3 linked regions of the Arabidopsis thaliana genome follow. The protein of the gene in region 3 interacts with the protein of the main gene of each other region in a pairwise test. Each region holds a gene or a part of one and is shown on either strand. Other genes may lie near its edges.

Region 1 (4,399 bases), on a different chromosome or scaffold from region 3:
TATCTAAAACAAACTGAATCTTGATTGATTGAGCAGTCAAAAACAAAATTGGATTTAAAAGATTACAAGAAGTGGATTTGGCATTTGGAGGAACGTTAGGATAAGGAAGGAGGTCTTTGGTGAGTTGCAATTTCTTGTCAACATCAACCTTAGTACCAATTTCCACTTTCATTACTTGAAGAAATTCACTTTCCGACAGAACAGCCTCACTTGTTCGACTTCTCTAAGATTCCCTCTACACCCGTATAACTCCAACACCTTCAACGTATTTCCATCAATGCTATACCCACAAGTACTTACACACTGAAAACCCTGAAACAACGGATAGAAAAGAAAAGAACACACAGTAAGTGAAACTCCGAGATTAAATTTATAATTGAGAAAGAGAAAAAGAGATCATATTATACATACAAACCTTGAGGATCAAAGTTTCTAGATTGGGAGAGCTTTTTATCAGAGTCCAAAGAACTTTCCAACCTTTTTTCGTCTTAGACTCAAACGATAGTTTAACAAGGTTTTTAAACAAGGGAAATTCATTACTACGCCAATAATCGAAGCAATGACGCATCATCTACAACACACAAGCAAACTGGTCATGAATGAAACACAAACAAATTGGTCAAGCATGAATGTAACAAGATACATGGAGAAGAGAGAGACATCATACTTTAACGGTAGTAGAAGCAAGGTCAAGAATGTTTTTCATATTCCTCATATTCATAGGGACAAAACTCATAAGGCATAGAAAGATCGATGCGGGCTTCTCGAAGGGAATCCATTGTGATGGACCAGTAATAGTCTTATTTCTTTGATTTTTTTGGAATACTATGACTTAAACAGTATTAGTATAAGCAAAACTTACATGGCGAGCATATATGAATATCTTGAAGCATCCACCGATGCAAGACTTAAGTTTTCATCCTTGTGAAGAAGTGCAACAACCTTAATAAAGGACTTAGCCACAAAATTACCTAGCATACACCCCGGTTCAGAAAATATGATAAGAAAGTTTTGCTCTCATCGTCAAGAATATATCAAACAACCATTTCACTTGTTCCAATTATGTATATTATTCTTTATAGTCTATACCATAACTATTTCATTAACGCTAACACCGCAATTTCTTATTAATTAAAAACCTTGAAAAAAATAGAGAAAACTATTCATATATAAAATTATAAGATAAAAATTTACAATTGAAAGATATTATATATGTATATAAAATTATGAAAATCAATATGGCGAAAAATTCTTAAATCGGAAACAGAAAATTATGTTAAACCATAAGACATAATTTATTAAATTTTGTATTTTATAGATTCAGATTTATGTAATATTACATTGTTGGTCAAACCAGAACACTTTGGTTTAGCTTGTCAAATAAAGAACTTGAGCCTCCAATGAGGCGGACCGACTGTTGGGCTTGGCGTTGGGGTGGCTCAGTTGACGAAATTGACGTTTACTGTGTTTGTATTGAGCCCACCAACATATATTTTTTTTCAATTGAAAGATATCTATTTTTGTAATTACGTTTGTATAGTATAGTTAATACTGTATTAATTTTTATATCAATCCCTAGTAAATTAAATAAGTAAAATTTAGTTAAGAAATTTAGTAACAATTAAAAGGCTTTAATGGTTGTAAATTTATTAGTATCACTTACAATGTTTAAACCTTTTAAGACATACCAGTAATTTTGAATTTGTCAAAGGTCAAAAAAACAAAAGAGCCGATAAAGAAGAGTCTCAAAGGAAGAATCCCAAATTACACTCCAGGTGATGCGCACATCAGTTTTCGTGCGCACACGCGGCGGTGCACATTAGCCCCAACCAATCAAAATCATATATCCCGTTCTCCGGCGACTCTTCGTCGTGAGCTTCCGTCATGGCCACATGGAACGCATCCTCCCCTGCGGCGTCTCCTTGCTCATCGAGGCGACGAACGAAAGCTCCAGCGAGACGCCCTTCCTCCGAATCTCCACCACCGAGGAAGATGAAATCAATGGCTGAGATAATGGCGAAATCTGTCCCTGTGGTTGAACAAGAAGAAGAAGAAGACGAAGACAGCTACAGTAACGTCACCTGCGAGAAATGTGGTTCTGGAGAAGGAGACGATGAGCTTCTTCTCTGTGACAAATGCGATAGAGGCTTTCACATGAAATGCCTTAGACCCATTGTTGTTCGTGTCCCCATTGGAACTTGGCTTTGTGTCGATTGTTCCGACCAACGACCTGTAAGAAGTATGGATTTTTTGTTTCTTCGCTTTTAAATTTCCTAATTTTCTTGTGTTCTTTGTTTAATAAAAAAATGGATTTTTCTCTTGTCCGGTGAAATGTTTAGGGTTATCTCAGAAGAAGATTTTACATTTCTTTCGGATTGAGAAGCATACTCATCAAACAGACAAATTGGAATTGAGTCAAGGTGCGATTTTTGTTTTTGGATTTCATGATATGATCATAAAGTTCTTGAGTTGATGAATCTGACGAGATGTTTCACTTGATTAAATAGTTAGATGAATATGAAATAGCTTAACTTTGGCCTATTATATGCTTGAAATTTTGTTGCACCTTATGTAGGGTTAATAAGCATTGATGAGAACTTATACATATCATATACATAGATCATAGATGCTTCAGGATTAAACTAATAACAAGTGTTTGAGATTGAGATTTCTTTGTTTTGAAGAAGAAACTAGAAAGCGGAGACGATCTTGCTCTTTGACAGTGAAGAAAAGAAGGAGAAAACTCTTACCTTTGGTTCCATCAGAAGATCCTGATCAGAGGCTTGCACAAATGGGAACACTTGCTTCTGCATTAACGGCATTGGGTATCAAATACAGCGATGGTTTAAATTATGTTCCCGGAATGGCTCCTCGGTCTGCAAATCAATCCAAGTTAGAGAAAGGTGGGATGCAGGTAATAAACAAAAACAATCTTTCAGCCATTTATCCATAACTCTCTTATTTTAAGTTACTTCCTTGATTGTTTATCTCGGTTTTTACTTTTCGCAGGTGCTATGCAAAGAAGATTTAGAGACATTGGAACAATGTCAATCTATGTATAGACGAGGAGAATGCCCTCCTCTCGTTGTGGTATTTGATCCGCTTGAAGGGTATCTCTCTCTATTCCTTCGATCAACCTTCCCATAATGACAAAGTGGAGTTGTAAACATGTTCTTTGGTTATTCCGTTTGTACAGTTACACAGTTGAAGCAGATGGTCCTATTAAGGACTTAACATTCATAGCTGAATATACAGGGGATGTTGATTACTTGAAAAACCGAGAAAAAGACGATTGTGACAGCATCATGACTCTCCTTTTATCAGAAGATCCTTCAAAGACTCTTGTTATCTGTCCAGACAAGTTTGGAAACATATCTCGCTTCATTAATGGCATTAACAATCACAATCCGTAAGCAACAAATTCAAAATTGTTTTCCCCCCACTAAACTGGTTTATAACATTGAATCATCACATCACACTGATTGTTGCAGGGTTGCTAAGAAGAAGCAGAACTGCAAATGCGTGAGGTATAGCATAAACGGCGAATGTCGAGTTCTTCTAGTGGCTACACGCGATATATCGAAAGGGGAAAGGCTCTATTATGACTACAATGGTTATGAACATGAGTATCCTACTCATCACTTCCTCTGATCTTTCAATTCTAACAGTTCTACAGAGTCTCTAGATCAGATGTTCTTTTTGTTGCCATATTACAGGTCAATTATAAATGTAGGGCTGCTGAATATATGGCCTTTAATTATGAAGTTAGCGGTAGAATAATTGGATTTGGAATGACATTACAGAGATTAAGATGTGGCAAATGTCAATTGCTGAACTTTTGTTTGATATCAAATGAAATCCTAACCTTTTTCTTATATGTTCTTGGAGACAACTTCACCACCTTAAGTGGTTGCCAAATAAGTTATAATTTCTTTTATACTCTTCTTCATAAATTTATCAAAATGAAGAACTAATCCAATACAGTCATTACCTAAACAGAAAAGTATAATTACAGTACTTGCCTAGTGTCGTACTTCTTATTTCCAGTCACCGAAATGTATTAACGCCAAAAGAGATTCATCTGTTATGCATAATAATCGCATGCTATGAATTAAATGAACACATCCAAAAAGGATGAAGTCACAATTGTACTACAGTTTCAGTATTGAGAGGAAAGCTTTTTTCACTTTGACCACTTTGATTGAATCATATCTTTGAAATTTTAAGTGGTGCTTTGCTACATATTCAACGGCTCAACAAGACAGAGAGAAAAATATTACGAGAGGAGATAGAGAGTGAGAGAGACGAGCAAGTTGAAGGAGCAAAACTTGTAGGTGAGAGCTTGAATCAGAACATTTCAAAGGAGAGAGATGGCAAGTAACCCTGATTTTCTTTGGTG
Region 2 (4,348 bases), on a different chromosome or scaffold from region 3:
ACTCGGACAATCATTGACAGCTTTACACCAAGATGGAATGAGCAATATACTTGGGAGGTTTTTGATCCGTGCACCGTTGTTACTGTTGGAGTTTTTGATAACTGCCATCTCCATGGAGGTGAGAAGATTGGAGGAGCAAAAGATTCAAGAATCGGGAAGGTAAGAATCAGGCTTTCTACTCTCGAGACTGATCGAGTTTATACACATTCATACCCTCTTTTGGTGCTCCATCCTAACGGAGTCAAGAAAATGGGAGAAATTCACTTAGCTGTGAGATTCACTTGCTCTTCATTGCTCAACATGATGTATATGTACTCACAGCCTCTCTTACCGAAGATGCATTATATCCATCCACTGACGGTTAGCCAGCTTGATAACTTGAGGCATCAAGCGACTCAGATTGTATCGATGAGGCTGACCCGAGCAGAACCACCTCTAAGGAAAGAAGTAGTTGAGTATATGCTTGATGTGGGTTCTCACATGTGGAGTATGCGGAGAAGCAAAGCAAACTTTTTCAGGATTATGGGAGTTTTGAGTGGGTTAATCGCAGTAGGAAAATGGTTTGAACAAATCTGCAACTGGAAGAATCCAATCACAACAGTCTTGATCCATCTCTTGTTCATCATCCTTGTGCTCTATCCCGAACTAATCTTGCCCACCATCTTCCTCTACCTCTTCCTCATCGGTATCTGGTACTACCGTTGGAGACCGAGGCATCCTCCTCACATGGACACACGTCTCTCTCACGCTGACTCAGCCCACCCCGACGAGCTAGATGAAGAGTTCGACACTTTTCCTACTTCCCGACCATCTGACATAGTCAGGATGAGGTATGACAGGTTGAGGAGTATTGCTGGTAGGATTCAGACAGTGGTAGGTGATCTAGCAACTCAAGGAGAAAGGCTTCAGTCTCTGCTAAGCTGGCGTGATCCGCGTGCAACAGCGCTCTTCGTCTTGTTCTGCTTGATTGCCGCAGTCATTCTCTATGTGACACCTTTCCAGGTTGTGGCTCTTTGTATTGGAATCTATGCTCTGAGACATCCGAGGTTCAGATACAAACTACCATCCGTTCCTCTCAATTTCTTCAGAAGGCTTCCTGCAAGAACTGATTGCATGCTCTGACCTGCAAAAACTGCTTCCAATACCGAAGAAAACTTCTATAAGACTTGTAGTTTGTTCTTGTTAAAAATATCATGATGACTCTTTTTAGTTTGTTCATTGTTAAAAATGTCATGATGACTCTTTTCTTGGTGATGGTGATGATGTATCCGTCTGTCTTTTAACATTATTAAGACTTTTGTTTGAAAGTAGTAAAGAAGTATCTTGTGTGGTTTTGATGTTCTTGTCACTGGTTAGTAAGTCATAATCTATGCCTCTCTGGTTTTTGTGTTTTATCACTGGAGCTTTAGGAGTTTGGTGCCATTGGGTTGGTTGCTGTTGAGATTAGAGGTTGTCACAGTTTGGTCTAATGGTCAAATACAAGTTTCAAGAAAAAACCATTTTTCTAATACATCCAAAGTTGGTTATAACCAAAAAAACTATCATATTGGGAATATATGTTCGCTAAATAACATTCTTACACAAAAATTCATTGAAAGCTTTGATATTTTATTTTTTTTCCGACCATTCTGTTTGACAAATGTTTGCCAGGTGAGATACTTTTATTCTAGAAAGACCAACCATTAAGAAGAAGAGGGGAATAATTAAAGCAAGCTTAAGAGTTAAGAACACAAAGTAAATGGGCCCAGATATGGTAATGGGCCACGTGACAAATGGGATGATACGTTATGGCAGAGAAAGAATCTTTTGGTAGCTTTTTTGGGTATCATCGCGTAGGTTTCACGCCACATTTATCCATTGACTTTTTCATTACGTCTTTTCATTTATTTTATGATATAGTAGATAATAATTATACCTGGTTAAAATTTAATAATTGACCGGTCAATAACCATTAAAGTGGAGGAAGTAGGACGAAAGGACATTTATTCGCCGCGAAATCTGGACCGTACGATACTCCGATTACCCTTCTAAAGCTTTAACATAGGGGTACATCTGTAACTTCACATTCCATCTTCCCCCAATCTCCTATTTGTGTCTTCTTCGAGTTTATATATAGAGAGATAGAGATTGGAGAGCGAGCGAGACAAATCAGAAGAGAGAGATTTAGATATTGTAGAGTGAGATTCTAAAGAGAGAGAGAGAGAGAGATATGGCTAGTGGAATCGCTCGTGGTCGTTTAGCTGAAGAGAGGAAATCGTGGAGGAAGAATCATCCTCATGTAAGTGATTTCGTGTCTTCTATTTCTCCAAATTCGTGATTTTGATTTATGGGTTTTGGGTTTCTGTTGATTGTTCATGGTCTCTGATTACTGATTGGGTTTCTTCTTGTTGATGGTGAAATTTAGGGTTTTGTGGCAAAGCCGGAGACGGGGCAGGATGGAACTGTGAATCTAATGGTGTGGCATTGCACTATACCTGGTAAAGCTGGGGTAAGTATCAATCGTGAAATTAGGTTTCTTCAGTTTTCTTATTCCTCTGCTTGTTTTCTTCTGGTTTGTATTAGTAGCAACAAAAAAGAGATTGAAATTAGGGTTTATTGATTTGGGCTAAAGTCTTTGTTTTTATCATCTTCTGATTCTTAGTTCTTCAAAGTTTTAAGCTTCACCAGTCTCTTCCCTTCTTTTTCTTTGTGATTCTGTTTGATGATTCTCTCATATTTGCTTACACATAGAGCCGTGGAAGATTATCTAATATGAATGTTAGTGGGAAGAGTAGCTGTGTATCTATCTCCTTGTTTATCTTGTATGATGTTTTTTTATTGGTGCATATGATTTTGGTCTTGAATACGACATTGAAACTGAACTCTGCTGTGTATCTTACTTTGACATGGCTAATAAGAGTGTTACTGCAAGAGCAATTGCTAATATCAATCTTTACTGTTGTTTATAGCTAATTTTACATGTTTCTCTGCTGCAGACTGATTGGGAAGGTGGATTCTTTCCATTAACGATGCACTTCAGTGAGGATTATCCGAGCAAACCTCCGAAATGTAAATTTCCACAAGGGTTTTTCCACCCTAATGTCTATCCATCTGGAACTGTCTGTCTCTCTATCCTTAACGAGGATTATGTAAGTACTCTACTGTTTCTTTCTTTGCATTTCTCCATGAGCAAAAGCCAGCTTTATCCTCAAGCTCTCTTTTGTTATGTGTATATCCATAGGGATGGAGACCAGCCATCACCGTGAAGCAGATTCTTGTTGGTATTCAGGATTTACTTGACACACCGAATCCCGCTGACCCTGCACAGACAGATGGTTATCATCTCTTCTGTCAGGTACATTTAGAAATGAAAACTCTAAACACAATATTAGGTTTTGAAACATAGGAAGGAACTAAGTCGAGTGATTGTTGATGATTATTGTGCAGGATCCAGTTGAGTACAAGAAAAGGGTGAAGCTGCAGTCCAAGCAGTATCCTGCTCTTGTCTAAAACCTCAAAAAAGAGAACGCACCAAAACTGATGACAAGCTCTGAATATTTTCTCGTCTTGTGTCATTATGTTTAGATGTCATTGGGTGATTGAAAACTCCTCATTTTGGCACCTTAAGACACTGGAATCTATTTATTTTCGAAAAAAAACTCTTCTTTCTCTATTTAACTGTTAATATTCTTGGTACTGATTCAGTTGGTGTTGCTTCTATATAATACATAATTATGTTCTCTGGTCGTTCATGAGTGTTGTCCAAATTCTACTAAGTGAAATATGAAGTCTTCATTCCATAGAGTAACGAATCTTAGTTGTGAATCTAGAAATACATATATTTCTAACTTGAAACTACGCTTAACACTTGAAAGTCAAAATCTTACTCCTCTAAAATTTATACTCCACTGATTTTAGACTTTTGAAGTAGTATTAGTGCTTGTTAGTAAATTGTTTGCTACTTGGAACATTTTTTGTCAATGATTGAGATAGAAAGCTTGGAATATTTAACAGAACTTGGAATTTAGCTACGAAATCAAGTGTGCAGAAAGAGATAGGCAAACACCGTATGTCAACAGTTACAAAGCAATAAAACCAAACATTCAATACTTATATACAACTCAATTATTGAAAGTCAACAACAAGCCAAAATCGTCTACAAGTGATGACACTTCAGATATGAAATGTGTGAACTATTATAATCTTTCCTATGATATCATCATCAGCAGATGATTCCTGATCTATTCTATCATCAGAACAATGATTTTCCAAAACGAGTATCCTATAAAATCGTCAAAAGATGATTGACGCTTCTAATAAAATCATCAGAAAATGATACAAGTCTAAGAAACCACCGAACTTGTGAAGA
Region 3 (4,796 bases):
CTCGTACTTTGTTGTCTAGTGTAAACTCTAGTTAAAGCTGTCACATTTGAACCTGAATTAGTAATATTAAGGAAAAGGAACTCAATGGTTTGTGTGTTGTTATATATTGGATTCAAGCTTTGATTCATTGAATGGAATTTTAGTGTTTGGTTTACGACCTCTGTTAGTTAATAATCATAGACACCATTTCCTTCTTTAGATGGGTTAGTTTGGTTCTAATCAGGGAAAGCCATTAATTTTTCCATCTAATCATTGTAGAAACCTTGCAATATTGTGTATATGTAAACATACACAATCGTAAATGTTTGGATATCAAACTCTTCACAAGTGTTTGTAGGAGAGGAAGTATAGGTGAGAAAAGATTAGGGTCAGTCACAGATTCTGCAAAAAGTAAGAGAACCATGAAAGTAAAATAAAACATAAACCCAGAAATAGAAACCATTCCCTTCAATTAAGCAAATGAGTTCTCTTTCCTTTTCTCTTCTTATGTGTATATATAGAAATGAATAGCTTAAATTTTCCCACAAAAGCCAAAGAGACCCAAATTATTGTTTTATTTTGTTTTTGTTACCTCGCTTATATCTATTATCATGGAAAACATAAGTGGGTTGGCTTTTGATATGGGAGAGCTAAGAAACAACCTTCCCAAAAAGTAAAATCCTGAAAAAGGATTTCATTGATTATGATTGTTTGTTTAAGTTATGGAAATCCGGATTACTATCTAATTTTGGATTTTGTGAATGGTTGTAAAATAGGAGAGGATTATCAAGGTACTATTCAGGAAAAGCGAGATCATTCATATGTATCTCAGATGTAAAATGCCTTGAGGATCTGAAGAAACCAACCCAAACTTTTGATGACGATGATGATGATGAGGCTTACAAGAAGAGGAAGAAGAAGAACAAGCAATCATCTTCATCTTCATTTTCTGCAGCTATTAACAGCAATGTGAATTTCTCAAACTACCCTTGTCGAAGGGTCTCTAGTAGCACCCACTGTTCCTCACCTTGTGTTGCTTAGGAAAAAAGAAGCTTACACTTTCTCAATTTATTTAGTAGCTCCTTTGGTTTTTATTCTCAACCCAACACTGAAAACACAAACTTCAGTTCAGTGTGTGGGGGCGTCATTCATATCCAATTTTTGATTTTCTTTACTGTTTTTATGTCTTTTTTTTGTGGTTATCTTTTTTTCTTGCGCAAATTATGTAGATTTGGATGTGTTTGTTCCAATTTGCTTATTGGGACAAAAATGTTGGAAATCCTTTCGAATGTAATCATACGTACGCATAGAATTGAATAATAAGTGAATAAATATAGAATTGAAAGGTTCTTAAAATATTCCTTAGCATTTCCTATTTATCTGAAAACATGCAACACACAAAGACAAAGTCAGGACAAGTCATAATGAGTAATTGCTTACGTGGCTAATTTTACATGATTCACGACAAAAGGGAGCGGCCTAGAGGCGCGTATCACACACGCGCTTCCACTTAAAAGCTGACGTGGTCAATTGGCTATCTGACATTCTATTTACCCATTTTCTCCCTTTCTTTCCTCTATATTCACGATCCTGCCATTGTACACCCAATCATACGCTCCTGAGATCCTCATGACTTGTTCTTACCGTACTCCGCGAGACATGCGATTGATGATTCTTGACTGTATTCATTGAGAAAAACTGTTCGCAAAAACCTTGAGCTTCATCATCGTCCATTACTCACCTTTCAGTTTCAGATGCCCAAGCAAAAAGCTCCAAGGAAGCAGCTCAAGTCCTATAAACTCAAACACATCAACAAGAGTATTCAAGGTACGTCTGACTTGTTCATCCTCAATTTGAAATTCGTGGATATTGAAAGTGAATCGTTCGATGTTGTTTTGTGGTTAAAAAGAGGGAGATGCTGTGTTGATGCGGTCGTCGGAGCCTGGAAAACCGTCGTACGTAGCGAGGGTAGAGGCGATCGAGACGGACGCGCGTGGATCGCACGCGAAAGTTCGTGTGAGGTGGTATTATCGCCCTGAGGAATCTATCGGAGGGAGGAGACAATTCCATGGAGCCAAGGAGGTTTTTCTCTCTGACCACTTCGATTTTCAAAGCGCCGATACGATTGAAGGAAAGTGTAAGGTTCACAGTTTCAGTAGCTACACCAAACTTGACTCTGTTGGAAACGACGACTTCTTCTGTCGTTTCGAGTACAATTCCACTACCGGCGCGTTTGATCCTGACAGAGTCACCGTGTATGTGTTCCTACGACTCTCTGTTACTTTATTCGAGAAGAAAATACTGATTGAATGATGGAACTATTATCGGTTGAATTGAGGCTTTTTTGGAAATTAGATTGTGTTGCTTTAGTGTAGGCATTGATTGTTAATAATTCATTGATTTGTCATCTAAATTGGTTTCATGAAGTTGTTTTTGCAAAGAGAAGTAATCAATTGAGTTTAAATTGATTTTTTCTGTTTGCAGGTTCTGCAAGTGTGAGATGCCGTATAACCCAGATGACTTGATGGTGCAATGCGAGGAGTGTTCTGAGTGGTAAGTGTTCACTTATTTGAAACTCTGTTTTAATCTTCTTGAGTCACAATCTGGAATTGCTCGTATGTTTTTCGTGTATCCATGAGGTCCTAGTTGATATGCTATTGAGGTTGCTTGAGATGAATGCTTTTGTCATGCTTTACTTCGGTGATGCTCTTCCTTACTCATGTTCATGTTTTGTCTTATCTGATATTGTGGAAACTGCAGATGAATAGGAACATAAGCTGATACTCTAGTCTGAACGTTTGTAATATCTGTGATTAACATTCTAATGTATATGTTGCGGATTTTCAAATTTTCTTACACGTTACTGATTGAGTCGCTGTTAAGGTTTGGGTTTTTCTGCAGCTTCTTAGTTTGTGCCTTGGGTCTTTCACCCATGTTAGCTTGCTATATGACACAAGTAACGTAAATGAAGTCATACTGAAACAAATAGTGATCGTTTGATCTTGGAAGTTGGAACTGTTAAGTGTTAAGCTTAATCTTTTTACTTTTTTTTTTGTAAAGAGAGGATTAAGGTTTTTTGTTTCGAATGTCTTTGTCAGTTGCCTTTGATGTTACAGCAAACTAACATTGGCTCAGGTTTCATCCTTCTTGTATAGGAACAACAATAGAGGAAGCTAAAAAGCCAGATAACTTCTACTGCGAAGAGTGTTCCCCACAACAGCAGAATTTGCACAACTCTAATTCAACTTCCAATAACAGAGATGCTAAGGTATTTCTCTATTTCTCATTTCAGAAAATATCTTTAGTTTTTGAGGGATGGTCAAACCCGTTGCAAATAGGCTTGAATAAATTTAAGGTATTTAAGTTGACCGTTCGTTCCACATATAAAGCTAGCCTTGCCAACAATTGTAAGCTCTTGGACTGATAAAATATACCAACTTAAGGCAGAATAAACACATAAACCCAAAGTATATGTGTCATTAAGGTCAAAGACAACCTTGTGAAATGTTTTGTCCTAACTAACAGGTGAATGGAAAGCGCAGCCTGGAGGTAACTAAATCGAAGAACAAACACACTAAGCGACCAGGTTAACATAAACTTGTAAAGGCTATAGATATCTGGTTGGTGAGTCTGAGTATCAATCGTGTAATCTACAAAGGTGGTTTTGTTTTCTTTCCCTCTCTAGTTTTTTCTTTCTTAAAAAATGAGGGTTTAGGTTTGTTGGCTTGATTGTTGTATAATTTATATGTATAGCGTATGGTGGTTTCTCATCTCCTTTAGTTGTCACATATAAAATTTGGGTAAAATGGTTTGTTTATAATAAGAAAACAAAACAAACAAACAAACAAAGAGAGTGTTGGTTCCTTATTTGTTTGTTTTCATTGTGAACTCTAGAAACCCTTCATTCTTTATTAGTTTTTCATTCTTTATTAATTCTAAAACGCATATTCAAAGAGACATATTTGATCATCGTGTCTTCATAATTTGGTTCAAAGTACAGCCAAAAACCAGGAGGTACACTAAAAATCAATAAAATTACATTACAAATTATTTTTAGTACACTGGGAACATAAATAAATGAATCAGAGAAGAGAAACATGGCAACTACCGATCATGAGCTTCTACATTTGTCTCAGAAAAAGAGGAAGATAGAACTATTTTTTAAAGTTTTTAGAAAAGAGAGAATTAATATTATCCAAGACAACACGGCACTGCTAACAACAAGTTGAACCTATCCCATTCCATTACTCCATACCCATTCAATGATTAACACGTGGTTCTACATCATTGGTTAACTCTCTCCTTTCCCCTTGGATAAGGCATCTTAAAATAATAATAAATACCATAAATATCTTCCGATTTTTTCTCCGACTATAATAATGATGACAACAATATCTTTTAAAATTATCTTAAAAGAAACCGAAAGCTAATCTCCAAAGGGAAAAAGACGTGTAGCAGAGACCTATACATACACCTATACATTCACGTTGCGTGTGATAATCTACTGAGGGTTCTATCTATATTAATCCTTCTCTGCTTCCTTCAATCTAATTGCAAATCAAATGGATCGTCTTAAGCTTTATTTCTCCGTTTTCGTTTTGTCTTTCTTTATCGTCTCGGTTTCGTCGTCTGATGTCAACGACGGCGATGATCTCGTGATCCGTCAGGTGGTTGGTGGAGCCGAGCCTCAGGTTTTGACCTCAGAGGATCACTTTTCTCTCTTCAAGCGGAAGTTCGGGAAGGTCTACGCTTCCAACGAGGAGCATGACTATAGATTCTCGGTTTTCAAAGCGAATCTCAGGCGAGCGAGGCGTCAC

Evidence for each region.
Region 1: the proteins of SHL1 (region 3) and ATXR5 interact in binary tests that used the Arabidopsis thaliana proteins (3 or more experiments, as listed by UniProt).
Region 2: the proteins of SHL1 (region 3) and SCE1 interact in a two-hybrid assay, tested with the Arabidopsis thaliana proteins (one study listed by BioGRID).

The regions. Positions count from the first base shown.
Region 1 is NC_003076.8:3,038,456-3,042,854, reverse strand, and holds ATXR5 (TRITHORAX-RELATED PROTEIN 5), read left to right. Parts: upstream 1-1,693; 5' UTR 1,694-1,884; coding exon 1,885-2,239; intron 2,240-2,339; coding exon 2,340-2,420; intron 2,421-2,684; coding exon 2,685-2,914; intron 2,915-3,009; coding exon 3,010-3,110; intron 3,111-3,196; coding exon 3,197-3,409; intron 3,410-3,491; coding exon 3,492-3,651; 3' UTR 3,652-3,875; downstream 3,876-4,399. Other genes in the region: AT5G09780 (Transcriptional factor B3 family protein), read left to right, coding at 4,371-4,399. UniProt on the Arabidopsis thaliana protein: Histone methyltransferase that specifically monomethylates 'Lys-27' of histone H3 (H3K27me1). Has much higher activity on nucleosomes containing H3.1 than H3.3.
Region 2 is NC_003074.8:21,427,972-21,432,319, reverse strand, and holds SCE1 (sumo conjugation enzyme 1), read left to right. Parts: upstream 1-1,921; 5' UTR 1,922-2,209; coding exon 2,210-2,278; intron 2,279-2,404; coding exon 2,405-2,488; intron 2,489-2,975; coding exon 2,976-3,128; intron 3,129-3,220; coding exon 3,221-3,334; intron 3,335-3,426; coding exon 3,427-3,489; 3' UTR 3,490-3,824; downstream 3,825-4,348. Other genes in the region: AT3G57880 (Calcium-dependent lipid-binding (CaLB domain) plant phosphoribosyltransferase family protein), read left to right, coding at 1-1,122. UniProt on the Arabidopsis thaliana protein: SUMO-conjugating enzyme that accepts the SUMO proteins from the E1 SUMO-activating heterodimer SAE1/SAE2 and catalyzes its covalent attachment to other proteins with the E3 SUMO ligases SIZ1 and MMS21.
Region 3 is NC_003075.7:18,217,072-18,221,867, reverse strand, and holds SHL1 (PHD finger family protein / bromo-adjacent homology (BAH) domain-containing protein), read left to right. Parts: upstream 1-1,543; 5' UTR 1,544-1,733; coding exon 1,734-1,806; intron 1,807-1,888; coding exon 1,889-2,234; intron 2,235-2,463; coding exon 2,464-2,532; intron 2,533-3,114; coding exon 3,115-3,247; intron 3,248-3,504; coding exon 3,505-3,570; 3' UTR 3,571-4,239; downstream 4,240-4,796. Other genes in the region: RD19 (Papain family cysteine protease), read left to right, coding at 4,542-4,796. UniProt on the Arabidopsis thaliana protein: Chromatin remodeling factor that binds to methylated histone (e.g. H3K4me2/3) to prevent their acetylation (e.g. H3K9K14Ac), likely by recruiting histone deacetylase (HDAC) complexes, and thus regulate the transcription of target genes.